2 linked regions of the Caenorhabditis elegans genome follow. The protein of the gene in region 1 interacts with the protein of each later gene in a pairwise test. Each region holds a gene or a part of one and is shown in the gene's direction. Other genes may lie near its edges.

What was found.
Region 2: the proteins of B0454.8 (region 1) and cnk-1 interact in a two-hybrid assay, tested with the Caenorhabditis elegans proteins (one large-scale study listed by BioGRID).

What each region holds. Positions count from the first base shown.
Region 1 is NC_003280.10:3,040,380-3,045,430, reverse strand, and holds B0454.8 (C6 domain-containing protein), read left to right. Parts: upstream 1-1,972; 5' UTR 1,973-2,024; coding exon 2,025-2,151; intron 2,152-2,612; coding exon 2,613-4,107; intron 4,108-4,186; coding exon 4,187-4,448; 3' UTR 4,449-4,488; downstream 4,489-5,051. Other genes in the region: sri-29 (Serpentine Receptor, class I), read right to left, coding at 129-207, 252-713, 763-891, 944-1,108; B0454.5 (uncharacterized protein), read right to left, coding at 4,625-4,781.
Region 2 is NC_003281.10:10,269,574-10,277,415, forward strand, and holds the start of cnk-1 (Connector enhancer of kinase suppressor of ras), read left to right. Parts: upstream 1-1,683; 5' UTR 1,684-1,730; coding exon 1,731-1,812; intron 1,813-1,859; exon of another isoform or gene 1,860-1,902; coding exon of another isoform or gene 1,903-1,954; intron 1,955-2,167; coding exon 2,168-2,284; intron 2,285-2,335; coding exon 2,336-2,499; intron 2,500-3,084; coding exon 3,085-3,423; intron 3,424-4,184; coding exon 4,185-4,304; intron 4,305-4,734; coding exon 4,735-5,126; intron 5,127-5,400; coding exon 5,401-5,696; intron 5,697-6,450; coding exon 6,451-6,646; intron 6,647-6,707; coding exon 6,708-7,109; intron 7,110-7,802; coding exon 7,803-7,842.

The sequences.
Region 1 (5,051 bases):
TGAGTGCGGAGGCCTGGTCTGCCAGTCCGCCGCGACGGGTATGCGACAGACCAAAGACCTATGAGATGGTTTTACATAGTCCAGTAGGAAAAACTTTGTCAACTACTAGTTTTTAGTAAAACTGGAACCTTGAGAGTAGCTGGTTGGAAACAAGGCGACGACTACCAGCATGAAGGGTGGTAGGAAGGATATTGGGGTTGTCATGAACTGGAAATTTTGAAGATTTACCTTCAATTTCCATTATCCTGTACCTGCATAATCAAACTTCTCAGCGCAACCTTATGCCTGCTCAGTGTCCCCTTCGATAGGCGACTTTTAACATCTGATAGAACTTTAAACATTCGAAGTACTAGAAGAGATATCACAATGATCGTCTTTAAGGTTCCAGCAGCAGTGAGCACTAGGAATATAATAAAAATATATGCACTGTTGAAGTATGTGTAATAAAATTCATTAAGCTGCTGATACTTCGGGACCAGCGACGGATGGTCTTGACTAATCAACTTCCATTGATCTTCTTTACTAGTCTCGCTGAAGTACCATGCGAGTGTGATAGCCAGTGAGTAGGACATGCATAAATGGTAGATTATAATATAGGTTAGGCTACTTGACGGGTTTGATAAAGTTTTCAGCTGCATGATTGCCTTGTACTTGCGGAGGAAGCATATTGTGAGAACCTCGATTTGACCGCTAAGGAGTAATGTGAATAGGGTCTGAAAGTTTGGCTTTGTTGTTTGACTGTTAATTGCTCAAAATGCTTACAAATAGCGTATGCGTGCTCCAGCCAAACCAACGTGACATAAACCCATGCCCATATCCAGAGAACAGTGGAAATAGTGGAATAGGCTGGAATAGGAAGGCAATGTTCACGTCAGATGCCGTACAAGATACCTGGAATTTTTCAAAGATTTTTTTGAACATACAAATATTTTGTTTAAGTTACCTGAAAAGCCAGCAAATAAAATCGAAAGTTGTCTAGCTTGCCGCTTTGAAACAACAGAAGGTATATGACTAATAAGTTGAGTAGTAATGCAATTGTACCCGACACGTAATAGTGATTAATCAAATGCTCGGGGACCTCGAAGTCAATATTCAAGCTTTCTGACATGTTACTAGAAGGAGTGTGCTCAAAATTGGCAGGAAAAATGAGGAGATTGATTGTTTGGGGGCTCAGCATAAGACATATGTTAAAAAGTCACCTGTCAATATTAATATTAACATCACATTTCTAGATATGATCGAACAATGTTAAGAACAAAGAAACATGAACCACATAATTTCTTGACCAATCACCGCTCGGCCACGCCCACGTTTGCACCAATCAGCGACTCTCAGCACTTTCTGATCTTTGAGTATAATCTATAAGCGGTGGAGATCAAGATTTTATGTTAAAATCTTCAGGAATTTCATTTTTTCGTATCAAACTCACATTGCCTGTCTTGTTCCATGGTTCTGTCATAGGACCCCAAAAGAAGCAACTTGGATTTGAGCCGTTGTAACTCTAAAACGGTAAAAGCTGGTAAAAGTAAAATGTTAAAAGTTGTCAACTAATAAAATATTCATCACATTTTAATAAACATTTCCTGTAACTCTAAAATGGGAAGAGTTATCAAAAAGTTGTCAACTAACAAATTATTCATCACATATTTTTAAGCATCTTGTTAGTTGACAACTTTTTGCTAGCACGTTTTGTTTCAGGGATAAAGGAGATCAAAGGTTTTTTCTGAAATCTGCAATTTTATATTATTATATCTATTATTTTATTATTATATCTATATATTTATAATCTTATATCTAGATTAAAACTGATTTCCGATCACTATCCTGATTTTTTGATAACTATGCGACAATGCTACGAAAATCTCTCCTCTAATCAGTCCGACGTCACAACGAAACTAGAGACATAGAGGAATCAAAGATATCCTGTCCTGCCTGCTTTTCGATTTTTTATATCATTAAATCCTTGAGAAATTTTTCATCTTGATCTCCTCTTCCGTGATTTGATCTGATTCATTCCATTAAACATGTCGTCTTCCTTAGTCTGTTGGCTAAGCTTTTCGGTTCTATTGTTAATTGCTAAAAATTCAGAATCTTGTTTCGCTACTCAGACTCCACAGCAGCCAATTGTGACAAGTACGGTGGCTCCGGCAGGTAAGTCGATTTTCTTAAGTTTAGGCCTAGGCTTAGGCTTAGGCTTAGGCTTTGGTTCAGGCTTAGGCTTAGGATTAGGCTTGGGCTTAGGGTTAGGCGTAGGCTATGGTTTAGTCTTAGGCTTAGGCTTAAGCTTGGCGTCAGTGGCGAGCGTTAGCTCTGACGCTATTTAGGCTTGGGTTTATAGCGTTTTTTTGATTTTTCAAAGGGTTTTAGACTTAGGTTTAGGTTGAGGCTTAGGCTTAGGATTGGGCTTAGGCTAAGGCTTTGACATAGGTTTAGACTTAGTTAGGCTTAGGGTTAGGCTTGGGCTTTGACTTAGATTTAGGCTACGGCTTAGGCTTAATTTTGGACCATTTTTCAACTTTCAGGGGATTTCCAGTGAAAAAAATTTGTGAAAATGTATTAAAATATTCCAAAAAAATCCGAAAAATATCCGAGAAGCCAAAAAAAACTTTCAGAACCAGCATGCTCTCCGGACACACTTGTTCTTGGACAAGGAGACAATCAAAACCCCGAAGTCGCCATCGATGTTACACATTCAGCAGTTACAACTACAGCCGGTACCTCCTCAATGACAATTACTTGCTCTGGAGCCACTGACTTCAATGTGCAAATGGAGCTTAATGGAGCCTTCACACCAGCCGAGAACGACCAGGATCCACTACCCCAGACAGTTACTATCAATGCTCAGTGTAATACCGCCGATATGAAATGGAACTACGTGACTGTGATCAATGGTGAAACGTTCACCGAACCTCTCGACAGTGTGACCTGCCTACAAGTTCAGAATTTGCCGGGAGAGGGGCCGGATCCGGAGCCGGTGGCATGTGATCCGGCGTTGATTACTTATGGAGTTGGAGACGATCAAACCCCTGAGGTCGCCATCGATGTTACACATTCAGCAGTTACAACTACAGCCGGCGTCTCCTCAATGACAATCACTTGCTCTGGAGCCGACGACTTCAACGTGCAAATGGATCTGAATGGAGCCTTCACCCCAGTGGAAAACAATCTGGACCCACCTCCCCAGACGGTTACTATAAATGCTCAGTGCAACACTGCAGATATGATATGGAACTACGTGACAATGGTGAATGGACAGCCATCCACACAGGCGCTTGACAGTGTGACCTGCCAACAAGTTCAGAATTTGCCGGGAGAGGGACCGGATCCGGAGCCGGTGCCATGTGATCCGGCGTTGATAACTTATGGAGTTGGAGACGATCAAACCCCTGAGGTCGCCATCGATGTTACACATTCAGCAGTTACAACTACAGCCGGCGTCTCCTCAATGACAATCACTTGCTCTGGAGCCGACGACTTCAACGTGCAAATGGATCTGAATGGAGCCTTCACCCCAGTGGAAAACAATCTGGACCCACCTCCCCAGACGGTTACTATAAATGCTCAGTGCAACACTGCAGATATGATATGGAACTACGTGACAATGGTGAATGGACAGCCATCCACACAGGCGCTTGACAGTGTGACCTGCCAACAAGTTCAGAATTTGCCGGGAGAGGGACCGGATCCGGAGCCGGTGCCATGTGATCCGGCGTTGATAACTTATGGAGTTGGAGACGATCAAACCCCTGAGGTCGCCATCGATGTTACACATTCAGCAGTTACAACTACAGCCGGCGTCTCCTCAATGACAATCACTTGCTCTGGAGCCGACGACTTCAACGTGCAAATGGATCTGAATGGAGCCTTCACCCCAGTGGAAAACAATCTGGACCCACCTCCCCAGACGGTTACTATAAATGCTCAGTGCAACACTGCAGATATGATATGGAACTACGTGACGATGGTGAATGGACAGCCATCCACACAGGCGCTTGACACTGTGACCTGCCAACAAGTTGAGAATAGGAAGTGTAATCCTGAAGCGGTAATGTTGGGAGTGGGAGACGCTAATCAGCCTCAAACGATGGTCGATGTTACCTATTCAGAGTTAGTTTGGAAGCATGAATTCATGAATTGTGAATCATGAATTTAAGTTGTAAAAACGTACTTAAAATATTTATTCCAGCTTCATGTCGACACCAATTGCCGGAACAGCCGACTCCACTTCCACAATGAAAATTAGCTGCTCTGCAATTGATGGGTACACCGTTTTAATGCAATTGAATGCACAAACAATTCCACTGGAAGGCCAATTCGAACCCCAAGAAGTAACAATTACTGTAACCTGCAATAGTGCTGATATGACGTGGACCTATACGGCAGACGCCGGAACCGGACCTGTAACTATTGATGTTAATTCAGTGAGATGTCTGCACAATCAGAGATAATGTAAAGTGCTGGTTTAATTTAATAAAATAGTACTAGATTATATTTTTTGACAAAGGAATACCAAATACAAAATACAAATTGGACTGCCCTACTCTATTATTTTATCAACACCTACCTAGTTGTTGTAGCTATGATTTTGGTAAAATTCCTACAAACTAACAAATTCAAAAATGTTTTATTTCACAAATGTTAACACACAACAACAAAAAACACTCATGAACAGCCAAAAAATTGAGAAAAACAGGAAAAACGTGGCAATATTGTAGGTCCACCAGTCGCAGTAGGCACGGGCCGTCCATGAGCCGAACACCCAGTAGCAGCCGAATATGCACCTGAAAATTGAGACCCGAAATGTTTAGCAGAACTTTTGATCATTTTGTTAGTTGAAAGTTTTTTGATAGCTCTCTTGGTTGTAGAGTTAAAGGGGTTTAAAGTTGGAAGAGGGAGAGGGAGAGACGCAGAGAAGCAGAGCGCCTCGTCGTCTGCGTCCCCCTCTCTCTCGCACCCACCAACTTCTAACGAGCATATCTCTTGAACGGTTAGAGATTGAAAGAAATTTTCAATTACAAAAATTATCAGCGCAAAATTCTGCATCAAATGAG
Region 2 (7,842 bases), on another chromosome or scaffold:
TGAACTACAACTTTTTTCGCGTTGGAGATAGAAACTAGCGGTGAACTGACAAAATGAACATCACAAATAGGTGAACATTTCTTTAGTTGACAATTTTTTGATATCTCGTTCCACTAAAAAGATATAGCTATGATTTGATGAATGAAGTCCCAGTTACAGTACCCTCTCTTAAAACCATCAAATCTCTGTTCTCGCTGAAGATACAAAAATATGTTCAACTGAGAAAATGTTAAGCAGATAAAAAACAACATTTACCAGCAAAAACTACATTTCTATCTACAAAAATAATAGATTTTGACTTTTGAAAATTGATCATCTTAAACTGGCCATGTCAAAAAATCCTGAACATTAAAATTGAGTTTTTTATCGGAAACATACTCTATATAAGATATCTAACAAATTTGTAGTTGACTACTTTCTTCTAATGTCTTTATTTTTTGAGTTATGAACTGATCTCTGATTTTCTCATAAATACGGCTTTCGGGGCCTGTAAAAAATTTGTCTTACTAGTTAGAAAAATATTGTCAACAGAAAAAATGTTCACAATGTCACACTGAACATTTTGTTAGTTGACAACTTTTTTGTAACTTTCATAGGAGCGGAGATAGGAGCATCCAAAGTGTGAGGGCGCAGTAGAGTGGGTACTACTGTATCAAAGCACCCAACCTTCTACATCAAATAACATCTTTCAACATTGACGGATTTTTATGTGTGATATGTCAAAATGTGCGTATTAAAAATTAGAACAATCGTATTGTTTCCGATTTTTGAGTCCAAGCCAACTATTTCCTGAAAATTTGGTCATTTTAGTACTGTAGTCAACCTTCTAGATCAAATAACATCTTTCAACATTGACGGATTTTTATGTGTGATATGTTAAAATGTGCGTATTAAAAATTAGAACAATCGTATTGTTTCCGATTTTTGAAATCTTTCATTTTACGGTCACTATCTTCCGGAAAGTGCTGAAATTTTGAGCTGTAAATGTTTGATGTCAAAAAAAGTTTCTCTCATAACTTATTTATTGGGGTTTTTTTGTATTAACTCATTAATTGGGAATATATTGAATACATTTTACAAAAAAAATTTGGGAAAAAATCTTAAACTTGCTCGTTTTAGAGGGGAATGTGTAATATTATGTTCACTCTCTTCACTTATTTCAATGACAAAACTATTCTGTGAAATTTATGCCAGACTGTAGAGGACAGTACTCTTTATCCGTTCCAATTGTTTCTTTTCAGAAATATGCAATTTCCTTTCTTCCCGACTCGTTCTAAGTGAGGTGGTTGAGCGCGCACTCTCGCCATGTTGTGGAGGTGAGAGACGCAGAGACCGCCTTTTTCTCTGCGCTCTCTCTGCGCATTTCTCGTGGTGGAGGCCGTGTCACATCGTAAATCGACAGGGACGAGGAGAATTCTAGGCCACGTCTCCTCCGAGAGGAGTACGCCGAGTTCTCCATAGGACCCGCTCGATAAATTGAGCAATGCTCCTTTTTTCTTGGAATTTTTGTTTTTAATTAGTACTGTACTTGATTTTTCATTTATTTTCATAACTTTTTCGCGAAAAATCAATCAATTTTAGTGTTTGTTTTCAGTTAAAAAAAGAAATTGTTGATTTTATGCAACCTTCTGCACTTTTTCCTCAATTTTTACAATTAATTTGGGAAATTCTGGATTCTTACAGCTGCAGCCAAACTAGCATAATGTTGTGATTGTTCCGAATTTTTGAATATGTTCTCAACCACAATGGGATTTCCGTCGACACCACTTGAAGCCAAACAGGCGTTGGGAATCTCCTCTGGGATTAGTTCAGGTGGGCACAGTTTCTCGGCTACAGTAACCGTGGATACTGTAGCCGGGGAAGAAACTAATTTGTTCGAAAAATTGTTTTTCAAGGACTTTAATGTCCTCACTAACCCGGCACCTTAGCTTAAAACATAATTCACCAGAAACAGGTAAAAAATTGATTTTTGCGAAACTTTTAATTGGGAAAATCCACAAAAATTATTGATTCTTCAATTAAATTGGCGATATTTCCAGAAAACCTTACATATTTAAACGAAAATGAAGCTATTTCCAGCGAAATTGGACGGTTTCTGATTTAAAAATCCACAAAAACTGAAAAAAAAACAGATTTCTTCATTAAAATATTTAAATTTAAATTTCAGTGTCATCCGGTCTCCGTTCGGGAAGTCCGATGCTCTCCGCCAGCTACGAGCCCCAACTCTCGTTTGCCCGATGTGTTGAGCAGTGGAAAGGAAAAGAAATTGCAAGATGGATTGAAGGTTTTTATCGCCGCGGAAAAAAATATTCACTGAAAAATTAATAATTTCCAGGACTTGGCGATCAAATGAATCCATATTTGGGCATGATTCGTGACAATATAAAAAGCGGAAAACAATTGGAGGCTCTCGACGACGATTCGCTCAAAAAAATTGGCATTTCGGCTCTCGGAGCTAGGAAAACGATTTTTCAGGCTGTTTCGTTGCTTCTCTACTTTGTAAGATGGAGTTTTCAACAGGAAAATGGATTTTTTTCGAAATAGAATTTTCAGCAGTTTTTGCTGAATTTTCAACCAATTCTAAAAATCAGCTGTAAAGCTCCACAAAGTTCAGAAGAGATTCTAACTTTTCCGCAAATTTTTGAAGTTTTTAAGATTTTTTTTTGAAAAAAAGTGTCTTTTCGGAGAAAACCACTATTTAGTGAGAAAAAACTTCCATCGGAACTAAACATTTTGTGCAGAAAAAGCTGCTAAAAATCATGAAAAATGGTAAAAAATTATAAGTTTTCTAGGATTTTCAGTCGATTTTTTAAAAATTTAATGATTTTTAAGAGATTTTGAATTTTACTAACTTCTCCGCAATTTTTTCAAAGATGTTTTAATGATTTTCTGTCTACTCTGGAAAAAAAAACCAAAGTAGGCATTCCTGCCTGCCTACCGCCTAATTTTGGATTTTTCGCAGAAAAATTCAAAACTTGCTTTGTACTAATCTCCTGAACATCAAGAAAAAACTCTGAAAGTCTAATTTTTCAAGATTTTTTATCAGAAATTTTGTTGATTTTTAAAAATTATTTTCATTTTCAGTGTCACGAATCGGAACACGAGAATCTCCAACGCCTGGCTCAACAAGTAAAAACCTCGTGTCTCTACGTAGAACGCACGATGACGTCAGCGATGCGAATGCGGGAGAAAGCGATCCGTCGATCGGAAATTGTGAATATTCTGAATAGTGTGTCAAATGCAGTGTTACAGCTCGCCGAGCACACGAAACGATTCGTTTTTTGGCTTGATCGGACTCCGTTTGACGAGGAACCCGAATTTATTAACGTTAGAAATAGTGTTTCTTCTTTTATGTGGAACCTATTGAGAAATGTTAATGTACAACCGAAAGCTTTGTTTGAGACTGGAAGTCAAATTGTTAGGGTGAGGATTTTTAGGTTATCGATGGGATATTTTGACTGAAAATTTGAATTTTAAAAAAATTTGAAAAGTTTTTTTTCAAATCAGACAGTTTCTGAAGATTTCAATGAATATTTCTCAAATAATTAAAAATATTTATTAAAAAACTTGAAATCGAAAAATAATCAGCTTCAAAAGTTTCAGAAAATGTCGGATTTAAAATTTTTCAATTTAAAAAAAAATCAGATTTTTGCCAGAAAAATGTAATTTAAAAAAATTAATTCTTCAGACAATATCTATGATTCTTAAATTTTTTAAATTGATTTTTCTGCAAAAAAATTGGATTTTTTTTTCAAAATTGAGAAAACATCCATTTTCTAATTAAGAACATTTTAAAGTAATTAGAAATTAATTTCTACAATTAATTATTTATTTTATTGGAAAAAAAAATTACAGGATACGATATAATTTTTTTTGAATTAAAAATCAATTTTCCAGACAATAAAAGCGAATTATTATTTTTTAAAGTTTAATTTTTCTCAAAAAAAAAATCCGTTTTGTTTTCCTCAAAATGTTTTATAAAAAATGTAATTTTTTTAATTCTGATGGCTTTAAATATGAAAAAAACTGTTTTTTTTTTGAAAATCACAAGTTAGAAATTATTGCAAAAAATTAACAAATTATAGTTAACTGAATTACAATTTAAAAAAATTGAAATTTTTTCAGTCGTTCTTGAATTAAAAATTTTTTAAATAAAATTAAACTACAAAAAAATTTATTTCCAGATGTCAAAAGAGCTGGCCTATGAATGCCAGAAAATTGTCGACTGTGATGATCCGTTGATCCTGTACGCGTGTTTTATCGAATCTGCTCTACTTCGCCGAAGATCTGATAATATTAATTGGGTAGGTTTTTTACAACAAAAAAATGGAAAAATCCTGGAATTCATCAAAAAAAAATTTTTTTTGATTTTTTCAATTATTCAAAAATGAAATTTATTTATTTATTCACGCTCGCGAAGAGATCGAAGAATTTTTCCAACATTTTCTCATTTTCTTGAGGAAAAACCAGAAAGTTGAGCATAAATCGAAATAATTATTTTTCCGATTTTTTTTTCGAAAAACAAACACGGAAAGCAGAAATAAGTTGATTTTTCCGATTTGTTTCATATTAAAAACATTTTTTAACTTGGAAAACCTGAATTAATTTTAAATTTTTTTTTTAATTTTTATTTTCAGAATTTTGATTTTGTTAAAATATTTTTTTCCAGTATTTTCAATTTTCTTGAGGAAAAACCTGGAACGATCGAGTCCTCAATCCCATCTCAATTTGCAGGGTCTCAACATTCAATCCTCATACCGTGGTGTCCATGTAATTAGTGAAATCAAAGAAGGATCCCCAGCAGACGCGTGTACAAAAATCGACGCAGGCGATGAAATTCTAATGATCAATGGACGAACTGTTGTTGGATGGGATTTGACGAGTGTTGTTCAACAAGTTGGAGCTCTGGATGTCCTGGAGCTCTCACTTATCGTGAAACGCCGTCCCCGAGAGCCTCAACTACCGAAACAATCGAAGCTGGCGGCTCGAGCTCTTGCTCCGTCGAGTCAGACGGCGAAGACCTATTCAACAGATGATTATGATCCATTTGGACAATCTGAACCATTGAAAAGGCATCGAAGTTGTCATGTGATTTCGGAAATTATTAAGGAAAATGAGAGAAAAATGTGAGAATTTTTTTTCAACAAATTTCCAAAATTTTGAACAAAAAAATTAAAAAAAATTTTTAAAGACAAAAATTGGATTTGCTAATTTTTTTTAAATTAAAATTTTATTTTTGAAGTTTAAAATTGGGAATTTTCGGAATTTTCCTTTTTTCACTCCAAATTTGAAAAAAAATTAATGTTTTTTTTCTTTTTTTTTTGAAATTTCAAAATAAAATCAATTTTCTAGAAGAGCAATATTTTCATTCTGAAAAAATTAAAAAAAAAATATTTCCAGCCGAATAAGTCGCCGCCTAATCCGCCGTTCCTCCATAGCCTCTGCGTGTCCGAGAAAAGAACGAAAAAATATAGACGAACGAGCTCTAGACGGAGATGATGAAGATGATTGGGATGTTCATGAATTTATTCGAAATGTAGATGGAGAAGAAGAAGCATTAGTTCCAAGAATTGCTAAAAGAACAAGAACAATGCGTCATCAACCGGATGGTTATGTTCGAAGCTTTATTGATAATAAGCTTGTTACTGATATTGAGGATGATGTCGTCAATGATCAGTTGACTTTTAATGTCAAGTGTAAGTTTTTAGAGAAATACATTTTTTGGCATCAAATTTGTGCACGGAAGGACTGCAATTTGAGTATGGCCAGCCAAAATCTGAAACAAAAATGAAAAAATGTTTTGACCAGAAAAAAATACATAAGAATTCATACAATTTTCTGCTAATTTGAATTTAAAAAATTTTGAAATTAAAAAAAAAAGAAGAAAAATGGCAAAATTTAACAAAATTTTTCGATCATCAACAGTTTTTTACACGGAACGCTATCAAATTCGTTTAAAAAATTGAAAAAAAAAATTAAATTAATTTTTTGAATCATTAAGCCTTAAGTCGACTATAGTCAAAGCAAAATTGGGTCCCGCCACGAAAATCTCGGGGTACTGTAGGTTTTTCGTGACGGGACCTACAGTATTCGAAGTCTAGTTAGGCCAAATTAATAGTTTCCCTAATCTGAAAATAGAAAAGCTTAAAATGAATAAAAAAAATTTTTTTGAGATTTTTCCGAAACTCGACAATTTTTCGCTTCAAAATTCTTGTCGAGACCCCGAATTTTTTGTATATTGTGGCGAAATACCACGTTTTTAAAAATTTTGATTATTTTCAGATTTCAAAGAAATTAGATCGACAGCTCTGAATTTAGTTCGCTAGTTTAGCCTACAGTACCCCCAAGGTATTCGGAACGAGACCCTAAATAGTGAAACCTAGTCATGTTTATACTCAAATTGAATATTTCCATTAGTACGATCTCAATATCCAAATTTCTAATTTCCAGGTCCCAACGAGTTTGCTCAAATTAAAGAAGTCGACAAAGAAGAACTGAAAGTTCTAAATTTACCGGAAGCACGAGTTTCAGACGAAGATTGGAAGGCTCCATACCAAGAGTTTGCGGCTCCAAGTTTCCGAGCTGTCGGTGATTCGAATATTTCCGGATTTAGTCTGGATTCGCCGAGATTATTGCCAGTTTCTAGGTAAAAATAAAGAAATTTTACATTTTTACAGCAAAAAACAGTAAAAACCCTGAAATTCCAGCCGAATGACGTCATCAGTGGAAGAATCAGCGTTCGGCGTACTCCCATCCCCATCCACGTCATCAATGAACAGTGTGAGCAGTCCGGCGCCATTCGGGAAATTTCAAATGTCGACGAGTCAAACCGAGTGGTCACCGAACCCCGACGATCTACCGGGCTCACCAATATCAGCCGCCTACGCAGGAATGGAGAAACTGTTTGAAGGATGGGTGCGGAGGCGGAAAACACGGGCGGAACTGAATGCGAATGAGCTGACGAATAAATGGCCGAAAATATGGATGTGTCTACGTGGACATTATCTTTTGCTGTACACAAATCAGAATACGAAACGGCCTGAAATGGTTATCAATCTGATTAAGGCCACTATTTCGGATTCGACAGATTTGAAGACTTCCAAGAAAAAGTACGAAAAAAAACGCGAAAAATGTGTTTTTTTCTAAGATTTTTATTAATACGTGGTGTCAGGCTGTCCAATCACGGTTTGATCTACAAAAAATGCGGGAATTTTTCGCCCAAAAAAATGTGACGTCAGCAAAATCAGTTCAGAAGTCGGTGTCTCAAACTCCCGTTTTTTTTGTTGATCTACGTAGATCAAACCGACATGGGACATTCTGACACCACGTGTGTTAAAATAGCACAAATCCTGAGATTGCGTATTGCGCAACATATTTGACGCGCAAAATATTTCGTAACGAAAACTACAGTAATTATTTAAAAGACTACTGTAGTGTCGGGCTTAACTTTCGAAATGATATTTTCTCATTTCTTGCATAATTTTAATTTTATTTCAATAAAATAAATTATTTATTTATCGAAAAAATATTAAAAGTTTGCAAGAAATTTGAAAATATCATTTCGAAAGTCAAGCCCGTAAATCGAAACTACAGTAGTCATTTAAAGAATTACTGTAGTTTTCGCCACGAGATATTTCGCGTGGGGAGACCGAGTACCGTATTTTTATTGCAAAAGGCGCGCGGACCCAATGCGCCATATTTGACGCGCAAATTCAGTTTCTCTCATGGAACTCTCAATAATTTAATTCAGATATAGAAAACTAGTGAAAGCTACACATATTTCCTAAAAATGTAATTTTCAGCATATTCCGCATCACTGCTGCTCCGCTCGACTATCATTTT